3 linked regions of the Saccharomyces cerevisiae S288C genome follow. The gene in region 3 interacts genetically with the main gene of each other region. Each region holds a gene or a part of one and is shown on either strand. Other genes may lie near its edges.

Region 1 (5,087 bases), on a different chromosome or scaffold from region 3:
GCTGGAAACCATCTTAGAAGAGTTTCGCAACCTGGCTGCTCTAAACGTGTGGTACGGTCTCTCTGATGGCGAAGATGGCCATATTCCATGGCATATCCTAGCCGTGAAAAAAATGATGAACACTCTTGTGCACACCAGAGTAAAAATTGCTAATACTTCCGCCGCTACTGTGCATACCGCTACTTCTTCATCAATTATTCTCTCGGATAAATAAACTTTTTCCGGCAACGTTTTCCTGCTCATCTGTAGCCCTATTTACCAGTTTTGGTTTTAGTATTATTCCGGGGTGTAAACCCAGAAGTCTATTTCTCCAGTCGGATTTATAAAAACAAAACCGGAAGCGGGGCGGTACGGCATTTTCACTGGTGATGCACGCCCAGCGTGTAGTCCGAGACAATTTCCACAGAACGCGAATGAGATTGCGTTTAAGGCTGTATTTTCAAGGCACACGAAGCGGCCACGTGGGTCTGCGATGGTGTGTTGATGATGTCAAGAATGGTATCATACTCCGTATAAGGTTATGTAATCGGAAGTCGCGATTCTTTTTCAATTTTTTCTTTTTATTTTTTTCCAGTTTTTTCGTCTCTGCGATGGAAAATTGTTGAAGTTCTCTTGATTAGCAAGTAGTTCTTACATCGCAGGAATCTTATGTTGCATAGCTCAATTTACAAAAATAACAAGGATAAATATATATATATACGCATATACTTTTTGGGTGTTAAAGTAAATTTTGCACCCGTTCATACCAATCGTTCAGATAATTTTCGCTCCTTAAAAAAAGAGAGTGCGTGTGTATATGCCTGTTCATTGCCTGTCCGCCTCTCATTATGTCTATTTCTGAATCTTACGCAAAGGAAATAAAAACTGCATTTAGGCAGTTCACTGACTTTCCCATAGAGGGTGAGCAATTTGAGGATTTTTTACCTATTATTGGCAACCCCACGCTATTCCAAAAGTTGGTACACACGTTCAAGACGCATTTAGAAGAAAAGTTCGGCAAAGAAAAGATCGACTTTATTGCAGGTATAGAAGCTAGAGGCCTTCTATTTGGGCCATCCCTAGCACTGGCATTGGGAGTTGGATTTGTTCCAATAAGGAGAGTTGGAAAATTGCCGGGTGAGTGTGCTTCTATAACATTCACAAAATTAGACCATGAAGAAATTTTTGAAATGCAGGTTGAAGCCATTCCCTTTGATTCCAACGTGGTTGTCGTGGATGATGTTCTCGCCACCGGTGGAACGGCATATGCTGCGGGCGACCTTATCAGACAAGTGGGTGCTCATATTCTGGAATATGACTTTGTGCTAGTGTTAGATAGTCTACATGGTGAGGAGAAATTATCTGCTCCTATTTTTTCCATATTGCACTCCTGATTTAAATTTGTTCTCTGCCTCCTCCTTCAATTATTTTCCTTTCCTTCGCATATTGCTACTTTTTAGCTTGAACTTCTTTTGTTAATATAAACTGGTACTTTACTTTTTAGGTACCTGGTCCACGGCGCCTTATCCTTCTTTTAATTCATATTATTACCTACTCTTATTCTCTCCCTTTCTATTTTTTTATTTTTTGATTTTTATAAGTTACACTTGTGTACATGTTATTTCTACTTAGTTATTCATACTCATCGTTAAAAGCCGTTCAAAGTGCCTCATCTGGTATACTTCACCGGCGTACCTCTGTTCCTCCTACCTCTTGCAGCAGGGCTGAATAAACTTTCGTCCACATCCTCCATCACTGTTGATATATAATACTCTCCGCCACTATGCGTCCATGAAACACTATCCTCCTTAAGATCATACCTTTGCACCTTTAATCTATTGAAGATGTTCTCAACATTGTAGAAGTTGATCTGATAAGTGAGGCTTCTTAAACTTTTCAAACTTATGATCTTACATCCAACTTTTGCCGTTTGTAGTATCTTTTCGACTTTTTTATTCAAATCTTCATCAAATAAAAAATTATTTACGAGGATAACATCGCACTGAGGAATTAGTTCAGCGACCCTGTTATTGTCCACAAAGCTTTTCTTCAATGAAAACTCCACGTTGTTCAAACGCATCCCATATAACTTACACCTCTTCTTTAGTTCCTCGTACTGCAGTATAGTTAAATCGCTAGCATCATCCATGATTTCACATCCGAAGCTTAATGCACATCCACATTCCAACGCAGCTTGTACTACGCAATTACCTACTCCCGAACCGAGATCCATGAAAGTGTCACCCTTCTTCAACTGGCATTGTTGATATACATCAGATAGGAAATTGGGCAAAAGTTCTCCATAAACATAATTGCTGAATGCTTTGTAATGTTTCAATTTATTCGCCTGCGGATGGATACTCCTGGTATAGACGATATGCAAGAAGTCATGAATGAATGAACGAGGAATTTTATCAATTGTTTCTAAATGGTCAATTATTCTTTGCCTAGGAATTTCACGAATCATTTTGTTGTATAAATTTATAGCATTCACGAAACCTTTCGTGTCAGAGTTATCAAATGATGCATTTAGGTCCGGTAGTATAGTTTCCTTCAATTGTTCAGCATAAGGTGAAGGTAAAAAGACCAGGCAGCTGTATTCAATTAATTTACCAATTTCACTCATTGGATTATAAATGGCTGTTGACCTTTTGAAGTCGACTTTGTACTCTTCCATATAATTTGAAAATAAAATACTCTGCAACTTTGCTGTCGTTACTGAGGAAGTGTCGTTATCTGATGTCAAGCTCGTTGGCTGTGGAGAATTTGTTCTTAAACTAATGGATTGTATAGGAGTTCCAGAATATATTTCATGTGATCTTAAGTACTCTATGTCAAATAATGGATATTGTAACCGTAGACACGGGCCATTCCAATCAACAAATGTTGATGAAGGACTATCGCGATCATTCTTCTTGTTTGCCCGACCTTTTTTCAATGGCTTTTTTTCTCGTGCAGTATCTATTTCTTGCTTTGAAATTGGGGTATGTTTATGGTTAGTCCTGCCATTTTTTCCTTTTACTTTTGCAGCTTTTGGCTTCTTTACATCCTTCTTCGTGGTGGTAGATGACTTCTTCCTTGTGTTTCTATTATTGGTTTTCTTGTGAATGGGAGGTATAACCTTCTCCACCAGCGGAACCAACCCATTATCCTTACCCTTGGTGTTTCTATCTCTTAAAAATCCTCGAGGTAAAGATGACCCATATATTGGATCGTATTTATTAGCTTCTTCTAATAAATTTTGTACTTGCTTAGAGAGAAGCGTACCTTTAGAATAGCTTGAAAGCGACTTGGTTTGCATATCGGTGCCTTTCTTCTCATCAATAGGTGATATTGAAGATTCCTGAGAGTCTAAGTTGGGGGACGACATAATGAATGAGTCTGAGTTATTATTTGATATACTTTCTTGACCGCCCATTACTGTACAACAAAATGTAACCAAAGCGCACAATTACTGGTGACCTCCTTGATGAGGACCTCAGTTATTTTTCAAGGCAATTAAGACGACGAGATGCCCTATATTCGAATTATGTTTATCTCATTGAAAGCACTTACCGGTCGATTTTTCAATGTCCCTTTTCATTGACGCGTGCGAAGGCGTCAGCAGGATTATGCATATATTGCTAAAAAAAATGGCACGTAAATCATTACTTAGTTTCTGGCTTGTTATACTATTGTGAAGTAAGTGTCTAAATTCAAGAACAGAAAAACAAAGAAAGTCACTCTACGGTCTTTAGCCGTAACATTTTTTCACTACAGAGAAAATTCATGCCAGAGCTCTTTCATCCATAAAAAGAGGCGACGACGCTTTCGACTCTGAAAATACAAGCTTTCATTGGAAACAATGTAGCGAAGCAGCTGACATTGGAATGCACTAACAGAAACTAGACAGACAGGTAAATGCCACACCATTAGGGAATATGTTTATTCCATCCTCTAGTTTTCTGGCAACAAATAAGATAAGGCGGTTTAATTACGTGAAAAAATCCTACCTACGGGTATTCACCGCTTCTTTCTCAAAGGATTTCTAGGAACTTGATTCGATCTCCAAGAGTACATCCTGGAATTTTATTAATAAAGCAGACTTCACTATCTATGACTACTTTTCAGATTCAAGTATGCCTATTCAAGTAGGAAAAATTCTCTTGCAGAAGAACGGCCAGTTATGGAAAGGGTAGAATTTATCGCTAATTTAGTAAGAATTGGAGAGAAGAAGTGACCGGGTGGCGATATTCTGTTTATTGTAGCACATTCACAAGGGGGGGGGGGAGTATCCCGTTCTTCAGTGTTCCTGTTGTCGTATTTAATATCGAATGGCATAATTCAATTGGATAAAGAAAGAAATGTTTTTAACTAAAAGATAGATTCATTAACAAAGCTTACAAGAAGCGCATGGCCTTCACTCGAATTGTTTAAAAACAAAGTGGTCAAATTATTCCAAAATCTTGAAAGACTCCCGTTCCTTGAGTTATTTGAGTTTCAAAGTTACATTTCTGAATTATCCCAACAGTTCTCAACAAGCTGGATGTTCTGGTTAATAGAGGTGTCAAAATTTCCAAGATTGGCTCATTGAACGATCAAGTGATGCTTTTTATTCTTCATCGTGGACTTTAGTGCAACATCCAAATATTATTTAGAGCGTTATATGTGCCTGGTGGATAACTTCAATATCCAATCTTTCTTCTTCATGTTATTAAATTATCAGTAAATTAATTAATTTAGAATACTCTGACTGTACCACGATGAAGGAACTGACTCAATTTTTTATGGGACCAATTTTAAGTGTTGGTTTCTATTTTTTACGAAGACAATAAAGTTTACAAAACGGGGATAACGTTTACGATAACGTTTACGATAACTTTTACGCTGGCAACATTGGGCACGCAAGGAAAACAACAAAATGTCAGAGCTACATAATTCAAAATGAATAAGGTTTGGTAGAAATTCATTTAATTTCCCTTGGTGCATAAAAGGCTCATCGAAGAGACTAGACTACACTTATTATGTGAATAGTTGAAACAGCCGTATCAAGAATACAACAATTGGGTACCTCAAACAGCCAAATGGAGAGACTTGAAAATATAAGCTGAGCGGCCTGAGGCAGTATT
Region 2 (4,109 bases), on a different chromosome or scaffold from region 3:
CGGAGACAAGTTCTGCGTCGGTGTTGCAGCATATCCAGAAGGTCATTGTGAAGGTGAAGCAGAAGGTCACGAGCAAGACCCATTGAAGGATTTGGTATATTTAAAAGAAAAAGTTGAAGCTGGGGCCGATTTTGTGATAACACAACTGTTTTACGACGTTGAAAAATTCTTAACTTTTGAAATGCTATTTCGGGAACGGATTTCGCAAGATTTGCCCCTTTTCCCTGGGTTGATGCCTATTAACTCCTATCTGCTTTTCCACAGAGCAGCAAAGTTATCACATGCATCTATTCCACCTGCAATACTGAGTAGGTTCCCCCCAGAAATCCAATCGGATGATAATGCCGTGAAGTCCATTGGTGTGGACATTCTTATCGAATTGATTCAGGAAATATATCAAAGAACATCTGGTAGAATTAAAGGGTTTCATTTCTATACATTAAATTTGGAAAAGGCTATTGCTCAAATTGTCTCGCAATCTCCCGTCTTATCCCATATCGTAAATGAATCTAGCGAAGAAGAGGGAGAAGATGAAACCAGTGGCGAAATAGGAAGCATAGAAAATGTGCCAATAGAAGATGCTGACGGGGATATTGTGTTGGATGATTCGAATGAAGAAACTGTAGCAAACCGGAAAAGGAGAAGGCATTCAAGTCTTGATTCGGCCAAGTTGATTTTCAATAGGGCTATCGTCACTGAAAAAGGCTTACGCTATAATAATGAGAATGGTTCCATGCCATCTAAAAAGGCTTTAATATCTATTTCTAAAGGTCACGGAACTTTGGGTCGTGATGCCACTTGGGATGAGTTCCCCAATGGTAGATTTGGTGACTCCAGGTCTCCCGCATATGGTGAAATAGACGGTTATGGGCCATCCATCAAGGTAAGCAAAAGCAAAGCGCTTGAACTATGGGGTATACCAAAGACAATTGGCGATTTAAAAGATATTTTTATAAAATATTTGGAAGGTTCAACGGATGCGATTCCCTGGTCTGACCTGGGTTTATCAGCTGAAACGGCGTTAATACAAGAAGAACTAATCCAACTAAACTATCGCGGATATTTGACTTTGGCATCGCAACCTGCCACAAATGCTACATTGAGTAGTGATAAAATATTCGGCTGGGGGCCCGCGAAAGGGAGGTTGTATCAGAAGGCATTCGTAGAAATGTTTATTCATAGACAGCAATGGGAAACAACTTTGAAACCCAAGCTAGACCATTACGGGCGTCGGAAATTCAGTTATTACGCGGGCGATTCATCTGGTTCATTTGAAACGAACCTAGACCCGCACAGCTCTAGCGTTGTAACATGGGGTGTTTTTCCCAACAGTCCGGTCAAACAGACTACAATCATTGAAGAAGAGTCATTCAAGGCATGGAGAGATGAAGCGTTTAGTATCTGGTCCGAGTGGGCCAAGTTATTTCCAAGGAACACCCCAGCCAATATTCTTCTAAGACTAGTGCATAAAGACTACTGTCTTGTCTCAATTGTTCATCACGACTTCAAAGAAACCGACGAGCTATGGGAAATGTTACTCGACCAAGCCTAATATTTCACTGAATATAAATACAAAAATGCGAAAATAATGTAATATTTAACGTATACATAACGGGCAGAACGCCCTTCTAAGAAGAAGAGGCATATGCTAATCATTGGCTTTCCTTTTCTTGGAGCCGCCATTTACAAGTTGTTTGTCACGTTGTAATTTAGATTCCAAATAATCACAAAATTTCTGATCTCTATTTTCATTCCAAACTCTATTAATGCCGCCGAGAAAAATGACTTGTGAGTCCTTCAATATGAAAACGCCCCTATTGAACACAGTTCCCGGCAGTATCACAATTTTAGAACCCAGCATGCAAGAGCTCCAAGATATTGGAGTCGAGTTGATAGCAAAAAAAACGTCGCCCGACTTACTTTGTAGTGTCAATTTAAACACTGCTTTATTCTTGGCGGCACTGCTATTATTGTTGCTATTATTTTCCTTGGCGCAGTTGTTATCCGCCACATTCCCGTCATCTTCCATGTCCACTTGAGTGATGACCTCGTACTTCTTAGCGCCATTTCCTTGCGCGCCTGATCGTAGTCTATCCACTTTCTGTTTTTTCGGATCCAGCTTGGTTTTTATATCATCGATCTGTGTTAGCTTGGATTTGGTGATATTCTCTACCATCAACACCTGGAACAACAGTTCTCTGTCTACAATAACAAGTTTTTTATCTAAGATAAGATTCGAAGCAGTACCAGCCAACCAAGGTTCATTTTGGTAAGCTCTGAAAACAATCTGTTCTCTCGACCCCAAGGTGGCGGAATACGCTGGTGGTGTAATGTCATCTGTGATATCCTGTGATAAGATAGATGAAAAAGACATTCCATCCACTCGGTAGTATGTATGCTCTGCAGTATTTTGGCCTTCTTCTCAGTACTCCCTTTCTGTAAAGATTGTATGATTGGTTTATCTTTTTCCTTTTTCCTTTTCTTTTTTTTTTTTTTTTTTTTTTTCTTTTTTCTTAATAATTAGTTTCTCTTCACGCTACATGCTTTCTTGGCCCGTCCTGAGTGCAGTATCATAATTAATTTAGTAAATAAAGAAATAAACGAAGATGGACCCTCAGAGCAAACAGCCAAGACCGCTTGCATTGCAAAGTAATCTATTATTGTGCGCTGGGCCGCGGATGCCGCGGATAATAAATAGCCGGACCTGTCAAGAGGACGATAGCGGATGCGCTGGGAAGAGCTGTACTCTATGTACACATATGTATTGGTTGGAGCATATGTGCCTACATAATATGTCTAGTTGGCTCAAGCCCGTCAACTAATTAGTCTGAATGTATGGAGGCTTCTGCTGGCTCTAGCGATGTCGTCGTATTTACGTCACTGTAGTTCTCGACTCCCCGGAAAAACCTGTTCGCGTGAGCGGAACAACTTTCCATTGAGGCTTAGTGGAGGTATTTCCGGAGAGGGCATTCATCCCGGATTTCCTATTAGAATGGTGCAGTACGCCGCCCTCGCGCTCTCTACATGCTGTTTTAGCGCGCGTGATATGGACATAGATGCACCACGCGGTGTTTCTTTTCTAGGCATCAAGTGGCTTGCAGCCAATCAAACACGAGGAATGTGGGATGGAAGTACAATCTCCTCACCGCACACCCACGTTTTCCGGGACATTTCTCGGACAGACTCTTTTTTTCTTTTTTTTTTTTTTTTTGCTTCCCACGAAATCGGAACTTATCTATCAGCCGAAGAAAGCGCGTTGGACAGATACTTGAGCAGATTTTGTGGGGAGAGAGAATCTTGGGACAAATGCAAAAAAGAAATGGTCGGAACAAAAGGGCAGTATACAGGGCCGGCAGTACCTTCTGTTCCTACCACAAACCTTAACGATATCGGTGACCCTACTAAAACTGTGCAATAGATATTCCGGACCCACATCATTGCGGTGTTTTCTGAGTCCGCACTCACGGGACGAAGACGAAGAAAGACAAGAGCCTACAAATGACTATAGCGTTTTCTTTTTCCTTTTTATGCTCTTGCTACCTTTTTCGCATGAGAGGACATTCTTAAGGCGTATATTCTTATATATTATACAAAATATATTTAGTAAATTGTTAAATTTACTTATTGACTTAAATCGCCCTAGCGGAAACAAAACTCTTTAAAAGAAAACATCAAATAAGAACACAGACAAGAAATTTTGTGTACAAATGCTGTCAGACTGCTTGCTGAACAATTTCAGAATAACGGCTCAAATAGGGTCGGGTGCGTATGGACTAGTGTTCCATGTGGTGGATATACTGACGAGCCGTGAATATGCAGTGAAAACGGTCTTCAAATCCTCCTCGATGGATGAGTTTTATAATAAGAACGGTTTGAACAACAACTCTCAAGTGGCGCGAACCACTCTTCTGCAAACGCAACTGTATCATTTTTTCAAAAGTTTCCAAAAAAAATTGTTCTTACCTTCCGTTGATCTAGACTCGATATTACAGTTGACTGAGAATGAACTAAATAGGCTACCACACTACAGGGAGATTGCCTTCCAACTAAGAGTGCAGTCTCACGGCAATATCGTGAAGATTCACCAAGTTTTAGAATCTTCTATTGCC
Region 3 (6,994 bases):
GAGCGGCTACTTCCAAATGCAACGTAGACTTAGATGGAAGTGACGCTGCGGTGATATCAGCGTCGCCAACTGGTTCGACGGTGGGAAGTTCCAATCTTAGTGATCGGGAAATGCACCGCTTTCTGGTCAACTGTGATAAGTTTTCCATGATGTTATCTTTTAATTTATTAAGAATGCCCTTCTGATCTGTCGACACGTAGGTGTCGACGAAGTTACCAAGAATCACGGGCAAAATACCTGATATTCCTGCTCCAAGTTCCAAGATACCTCTCTTGCCGCGATCAGCGCCCGTGAGGTCGACCAGCCTGGGCAACTCAAGCTTGTGCCCCTCGCAAGAAGACCCGCAGGTTACTTCCACCTGACTCCCAAGACGGAAAGGTGCAGCGCTAGTACTATACAGCAGCCAGTTGATGAAGAAAGGTGTGGTAGACCACAAAACGTATCCTGTGGTGGAGTTTCCGTTGTCTCTGGACGAGCGCAAGCTTGATATGGACTGCCCCACGCTAACATGATAGCTATCCACAGCAACATTCTGATCTTCTTCAACACTACTAGCCTTATTTCTTCTTCTCACTCGCTTTTTTTTTCTGCCGCCTTCCAGCCCAGAGGGTTCAAACGTTATCTCTAGCACACCGCCCCTTCTATCCTGAATACCCAAATCCTGCGCCAGTTTCCCGGACTGGCCCTCCAATTGTGTGTACCGTTCGAACACGTGCTCGTATATTGTTTCCTCATCCAGTAGCCATAACTTGAATGCCATTCTGCCTAGCCCATTTGCGTCTTCGCTGCCGTAACCATTCTCTCTTCTTGACAGCACTGCCTTGGTCAGTTCTCTATATTTGTCGCGCCGCCGCAAAATGCACCCACATTAAAGAAGACGACGCCAATCGACACCCTAATTTGGAGGTGTAGATGCACAATGGCACATGCAGTTGGGTGCATTGTGCCAGCAATCTCGTCTCGATTTCTCTACATGTAACTTGTATATATATTTGAGAGAAGACATAATCGTTGGTGGGACTTGGAGGCTCTTGGTAGGTCGTATTTGTGCATCTTGAGAGAAAGCGAAACAGTGCTGCAAACTCAATACGTAAAAAATAACGCAATATGTGGGCTCAATTATCATATACTAGACCAGAATCTCAGAAGACTGACTTAACGTCGTTGTTTTCCACAGATCAAGAGCAAAATCCATTAAATGACTACCAGTACCAGATCAATATTAGGGAACTGGAGGAGTATTACAACAAGACGATTTTAAACGAGGATAACATACAGGAAACAAGCAGTGAAATATCTTCGGCAGTTTCATTCTCTCCACCAAAAAATACAAACGCTATTCAACCGGGGCTACTGTATGATCCACAGTTAATGAACCCTTTTCTCCCATCCGCTCACCTGAATAGCACGGCACCTACTACTTTTAAAAAGAAACTAGAGGTACAAATAAATCCGGACTATGTCCCAAAATCTTCACAATTACCATTAACTTCACAGAATTTGCAACAGTTGTCTCAACAAAAGCCCAAAAATGATGCTTCTTTTTCATCAGAGAAGGAATCCTCAGCTCAACCTAAGGTGAAAAGCCAAGTGCAGGAAACTCCCAAACAATTATACAAGACAGAGCTGTGCGAATCATTCACTTTAAAAGGAAGTTGCCCTTATGGCAGTAAGTGTCAGTTTGCTCACGGACTCGGCGAATTAAAGGTTAAGAAATCGTGCAAGAATTTCAGGACGAAGCCCTGTGTGAATTGGGAGAAACTAGGTTATTGTCCTTATGGCAGAAGATGCTGCTTCAAACATGGCGACGACAACGACATTGCTGTTTACGTGAAAGCTGGTACTTACTGTAACGTCTCTTCGACTAGCAAACAATCAGACGAAAAGAGAAGCAATGGTCGCGGCTCCGCCAAGAAGAAGAATCTAAATGTTAAAGTAAAGGCTTTGCAGAGAATGACCTGGTGAAACAATTCCTGGCCTGGCGAAGACCGGCGTCTCAACTAAACTCAATTATTTATTATTTTTTTCTCCATGTTATGCTTTTTTTTTTTCTGCTTTTTTTTTTTTATTCTCATTTTCATGTTTGCGATATTGGTAACTCTAAAAAAAAAAAACTTTTATTTAAGTTAAGCTACTTCATGACGGTATATATGCATATTTGTGTACGTGTATTCTTCATCTATACGTAACGTTTGTTTTGTTTTGTTTTTGTTTTGTCAAATTCTCAATCATTCGGCACTACTTTTTATCGTTTCTCAGACATATTCCTTGAACATCGGCCCATTCTCTGATGGTCATTTCGTCGATTTGCGAAACAAATGGCTCGGCGCTGAACAGCTTTTCAATTAGCTCATTTAGCGGAATGGGTTCAAAGGTATATATTCGCTCCAAAAAATCAGGGAAGGCTTCAATTAGTTCGGTTAAATGATCAAATATTTCTATCTTACTGAAATTTGCCACCCCACCATGCTCACCTTTATTATCTGGATTAGCTGTGGACAGAATTTGAGATGCAGTTTGTAAGGATTGAATGATTTCAACCTTCGTCCTCATAGGTTTCAACCCCACTGTTTTCAAGCTTTGTCGAAGCTCTTTCATTGATTGGGACATCATGATCTCACAAAATTTCTCGGGAGAAGCTATGGAACTAGCTGCAGAGGTATCAATAATGTCGTTGCTAGTAGTAGGATTTTGTGTAGAATCTTTAGTCGAAATTTTGGAGGAATCTACCAATTGGATATCAGCAATGCAGAATTGGTCATCAAATTCTGTCTCCTCTTCTTCAGAATCATTTGCCTCAACTCTATAAAAGTTATGTTTCACCAGTTTGGGGTTTAGCTTAACTACGCTTTCTTGCAATAATTTAACTCTGATGGAACTTCCTATGTTATTCTTTTCTTCTTCAGTTTTTAAAGTTGTAGTAAGGTTCTTTTGAGGAATAATTGTAGGGGTTCTTGTAGCTGGTACCTGAACCTGATTTGATGCTTGTGATGTTACCCCTGTTTTGTTGTTTTCTACTTTCAAAGGTGATATTAACGATCGAACAGCTTTGAATGATTCCTGTGTTAAATCGATTATCCCATCCAAAGGCGATGTGTTTGGAGTGAAAAACTGTGTGCTGCCTATCGTGTCGGTGGCTAATGGTGGTCTTTCATCATTTTCAATGAAAACATACCGATACTGGTCTAGTGGAAACAATGTGGATGTCTCATCTGTAGTATCTGAGACAATAGAAATATTGTCATAATCATTATCCGTACTGTTTTCGCATCTTCTACTTACCTCAACAGACATAGGTTTGCAAGCTTTATAATCTGTCAGTGAAAATGCATTTATACGTGTTCCCACAGCCAGTTCAATATCTTCACCAACAACATTTCCTACCGGTTGTTGTGGCTCTAACCCGTTTCCATATTCTTGAGAGCTTGTAGAATCTCCCCGTGAAATAATTATGCTTTCTTCGTCTTTCATAATTTCACTTTTGTCATCCATTACTTGAGACAACGATAAGAAATTTACTGCACTTTGGGTATCGCGTATCCTTTCTTCCTGCTCTGGTTGAATAGCCTCATCGGGAAGCTCGGGTGGTAATTGTGATGCTGTCCAAAGTCTTTGTTGTGAGGATTCTTGATTGTCTAGAGAATTCGAGCTTTTTTCGCTTCCATATAAAAATTTCTGGACTTCATTCAAATCCGTTTCCTCACTTTGCGGAAACTTTTGTAGAAGAAGTTTCATAATATCTTTCCACTCCTGTTCACTATATGTATCAAAAGTAGCTTTTTCACCCTTGTTATTCCTTGCTCTGGGAGGTTTATCACTGTTTCCTTCATTTTGCGTCTTTATTATGTCCAAAACCTTCTTGTGCTTACCTGATAATTGCTTTAATAAGCTGGCAGTCCTTGAACGTTCGTAGTTATTAATATTGAAATCAGTTATATTTTTGATAATTTTAGGGTCTCGTTTAGTTTTAGGTTTTGTTTTGAGTTTCGAATTAGCCTTCCTTATTGCTGGTCTTCTTTTAGCTGTTACATTTGCATTGCTGTGGGTATCATCTGCGTTACTACTCTTGAACGAATACTTGAATTTTTCAAGTTTTAACTTAAGATTTGTTTCTTCCTCTGCGTCATCAAGTCGGCTTTGAATTTGAGTGTTAATGAATATGTTCTCCTCGATATTTGATCCGCCTAAATCGGGATGGGAAGTGCTGACTGGGTTACAACTTTTATCAACATCTTTATTTCTTTCTGTATCGTTTTTCGTAGTCTCTTGCGTCATAGGCGATTTTTGTGCAGTTACGCTTTTTACTTGCGTACCTATTGAATCATCATCAGATGATAAGGAAAACTGCATTTCCGGTACTTGAGTTTCCATTCCTAAAGAGTAAGCATTCTGGCTCTCTCCATTCAGGTTAGTTTGATCGGTAACGTTCACATAATCCTCGTTTTGTAAAAACTTCAAATTCCGTTGTGCCCTCTGAAGTTCCATTATTAAGTTCCCCAACTGAACTACTGGTTATTATTATGGAACAGAGATAGATAATATCTCTCTTGCTTGTTCGGAGTTCCATTCATCTCTATATTTTTAGTATGCAGCTTTCGCGTTATAAATTAAACAAAAAACCACTAAGTGACAAAGAACTACGCATATTAATAGTATACAACAAAAACAAAGGAAAAAAAGAAATGAAATCAATTGGCGAAGCAGAACAAGTTTTCTTTTCCCTACAATGATTGTAAATTCATATATGGTGCTCTACTGGTGATTTTTCATCGAACAAAAACCCGTTTTTAGGAAGGACAGAGGTCCATATCAATATAATTAAGAAGGCATGTTGGCCTCTGTTTCTTAATATATTCTAAATAAGATGTAAGGCCTTGTAATTCAGTTTGTTCACAAAATTAAAAACTGTTTAATGTTTTTTGTTTTGTTGTAGTATTCGAGCATTAAGGATAAAAAAAGCTTGTGAATAAAAATCTTTCGCTAAAAATCAATATAAGAAAATGGTAAGCAGCTGAAAGATAATAAGGTATGGTTAAAGATCACACCACCCTCTTCAATTAGCTAAGATCATAGCTAAAGGTACAAAACCGAATACGAAAGTAAATAAATTAATCAGCATAAAATTAAATAATAAACCACCTAAAATATTAGAAGCTAATCTTTAACCTGGAAGACAGGACAGAAAAGTAATTACAAGAACATATGTGAAAAAAAATAGTTGATATTTTAAACCAAATCAGAAATTTATTATACTAAAACTATATCTATGCCAATTATTTACCTAAACATCTATAACCTTCAAAAGTAAAAAAATACACAAACGTTGAATCATGAGTTTTATGTTAATTAGCTTATTGTTTAGCGTTAGTAGCGGCAGTCAATTGAGCTTGTTTAACCAAGTTTTGTGGAGCATCAAAGACTGGCAACATAACTTCAATCATTCTAATCTTAGAGTTGTCTTGGAAGTCCTTGTCTTGAGTCAACTTTTCCCATTCACCAGTGGTAGCAACTCTGTGGGTTTCGTAGTTTCTAGCACCAAAAGTTGGCAATAAGGCCAAGTGGTCCCAACCTTGAATTTCATTATATTCGGCATGAGGACCGTGAATCAATTTTTCAATGGTGTAACCGTTGTTATTCAAGACAAAAATGTATGGCTTCAAACCCCATCTAATCATGGTAGAGATTTCTTGAACAGTCAATTGTAGAGAACCGTCACCAATGAATAAAATAACTCTCTTCTTTGGATCAAGTTCTTCAGCGGCCATAGTAGCACCCAATAGAGCGCCGACTGTGAAACCAATGGAACCCCACAAGACTTGGACGATAGCGTATACATCTGTTGGGAAAGTAGTTTGGTTAATACCGAAGGCGGAAGTACCGGTTTCAGCAATAACAATATCACCTTCTCTCAAGAAGTTACCCAAATGGTTCCACATCCATTCTTGCTTCATTGGAGTGTTAGCTGGAGTAGACTTGGTAATTGGAACTCTAGCTGGGACAGCAACAGGTTTGTAGTCCTTGACGACTTCTGGAATAGCATCCAACAATTTTTGCAAGGCAAATTTCATTTGAACACCTGGGAAGGTGGCGTTTCTGATCTTGATGTGGTCAGAGTGGAATTCAACGATATTTTTGGTCTTGTAGGAGTAAGAGAAAGAACCGGTATTGAAATCAGACAACAAAGCACCGATAGACAATATCAAATCAGCAGATTCTACAGCCTTCTTAACTTCTGGTCTAGACAAGGTACCAACGTAAACACCACCGTATCTTGGGTGTTGTTCGTCAATAGCACCCTTACCCATTGGGGTGACGTAAACTGGGAATTGAGTCAAGTCCATCAACTTCTTAGTTTCAGCCTTGACATCATGTCTAGAAGCACAAGCATCAGCCAAGATAACTGGGTTCTTAGCATCCTTGATCAATTCAACAACAGTTCTAACAACTTCAGCTTCAGCTTCAGCGTCGTTTGGCTTCAAAGACAAGTCAATTGGAGTTTCCAATAACTTGGCTGGGACGTTCAAGTCAACCAAGTTAGCTGGCAAACCCAAGTAGACTGGTCTTTGGGTAGTGTAGGTGGTTCTGATACATCTGTCAATTTCAGCTGGAGCGTTAGCAATATCAGTGATCATGGCAGTGGTTTCAGAAATGTTGGCAGACATTCTGTGGAAAACAGTGAAGTCACCGTTACCCAAGGTATGATGCAACAACAATTGCTTAGCTTGAGAAGAGATGGATGGAACACCAACAACGTGCAAAACACCGACATGTTCAGCGTAAGAACCGGCAATACCATTCAAAGCAGACAATTCACCAACACCGAAGGTGGTAATAATACAGGACATACCCTTGATACGAGCGTAACCATCAGCAGCATAGGCAGCGTTCAATTCGTTAGCGTTACCAGCCCATCTCATACCTTTGACTTCATAAAGCTTATCCAAAAGAGACAAGTTAAAGTCACCTGGCAAACCGAAGACGGTGTTACAGTTGA

Evidence for each region. Genes that interact genetically often act in the same process or in processes that back each other up.
Region 1: of SLX4 (region 3) and DOT1, a mutation in one rescues a mutant of the other (synthetic rescue), as found in Saccharomyces cerevisiae (5 studies listed by BioGRID, with this or other methods).
Region 2: mutations in SLX4 (region 3) and RMI1 are lethal when combined (synthetic lethality), as found in Saccharomyces cerevisiae (5 studies listed by BioGRID, with this or other methods).

Annotation. Positions count from the first base shown.
Region 1 is NC_001136.10:1,340,803-1,345,889, reverse strand, and holds DOT1 (histone methyltransferase DOT1), read right to left. Parts: upstream 3,398-5,087; coding exon 1,649-3,397; downstream 1-1,648. Other genes in the region: SSN2 (Ssn2p), read left to right, coding at 1-214; adenine phosphoribosyltransferase APT2, read left to right, coding at 828-1,373. UniProt on the Saccharomyces cerevisiae protein: Histone methyltransferase that specifically trimethylates histone H3 to form H3K79me3.
Region 2 is NC_001148.4:501,782-505,890, reverse strand, and holds RMI1 (Rmi1p), read right to left. Parts: upstream 2,375-4,109; coding exon 1,649-2,374; downstream 1-1,648. Other genes in the region: methylenetetrahydrofolate reductase (NAD(P)H) MET12, read left to right, coding at 1-1,552; putative serine/threonine protein kinase SKS1, read left to right, coding at 3,708-4,109. UniProt on the Saccharomyces cerevisiae protein: Structure-specific DNA-binding protein with a preference for cruciform structures. Also binds single-stranded DNA (ssDNA). Functions together with SGS1 and TOP3 to maintain genome integrity. Essential for proper meiotic cell division.
Region 3 is NC_001144.5:410,772-417,765, reverse strand, and holds SLX4 (Slx4p), read right to left. Parts: upstream 4,486-6,994; coding exon 2,239-4,485; downstream 1-2,238. Other genes in the region: RKM5 (S-adenosylmethionine-dependent methyltransferase), read right to left, coding at 1-760; TIS11 (Tis11p), read left to right, coding at 1,108-1,965; PDC5 (indolepyruvate decarboxylase 5), read right to left, coding at 5,352-6,994. UniProt on the Saccharomyces cerevisiae protein: Regulatory subunit that interacts with and increases the activity of different structure-specific endonucleases. Has several distinct roles in protecting genome stability by resolving diverse forms of deleterious DNA structures.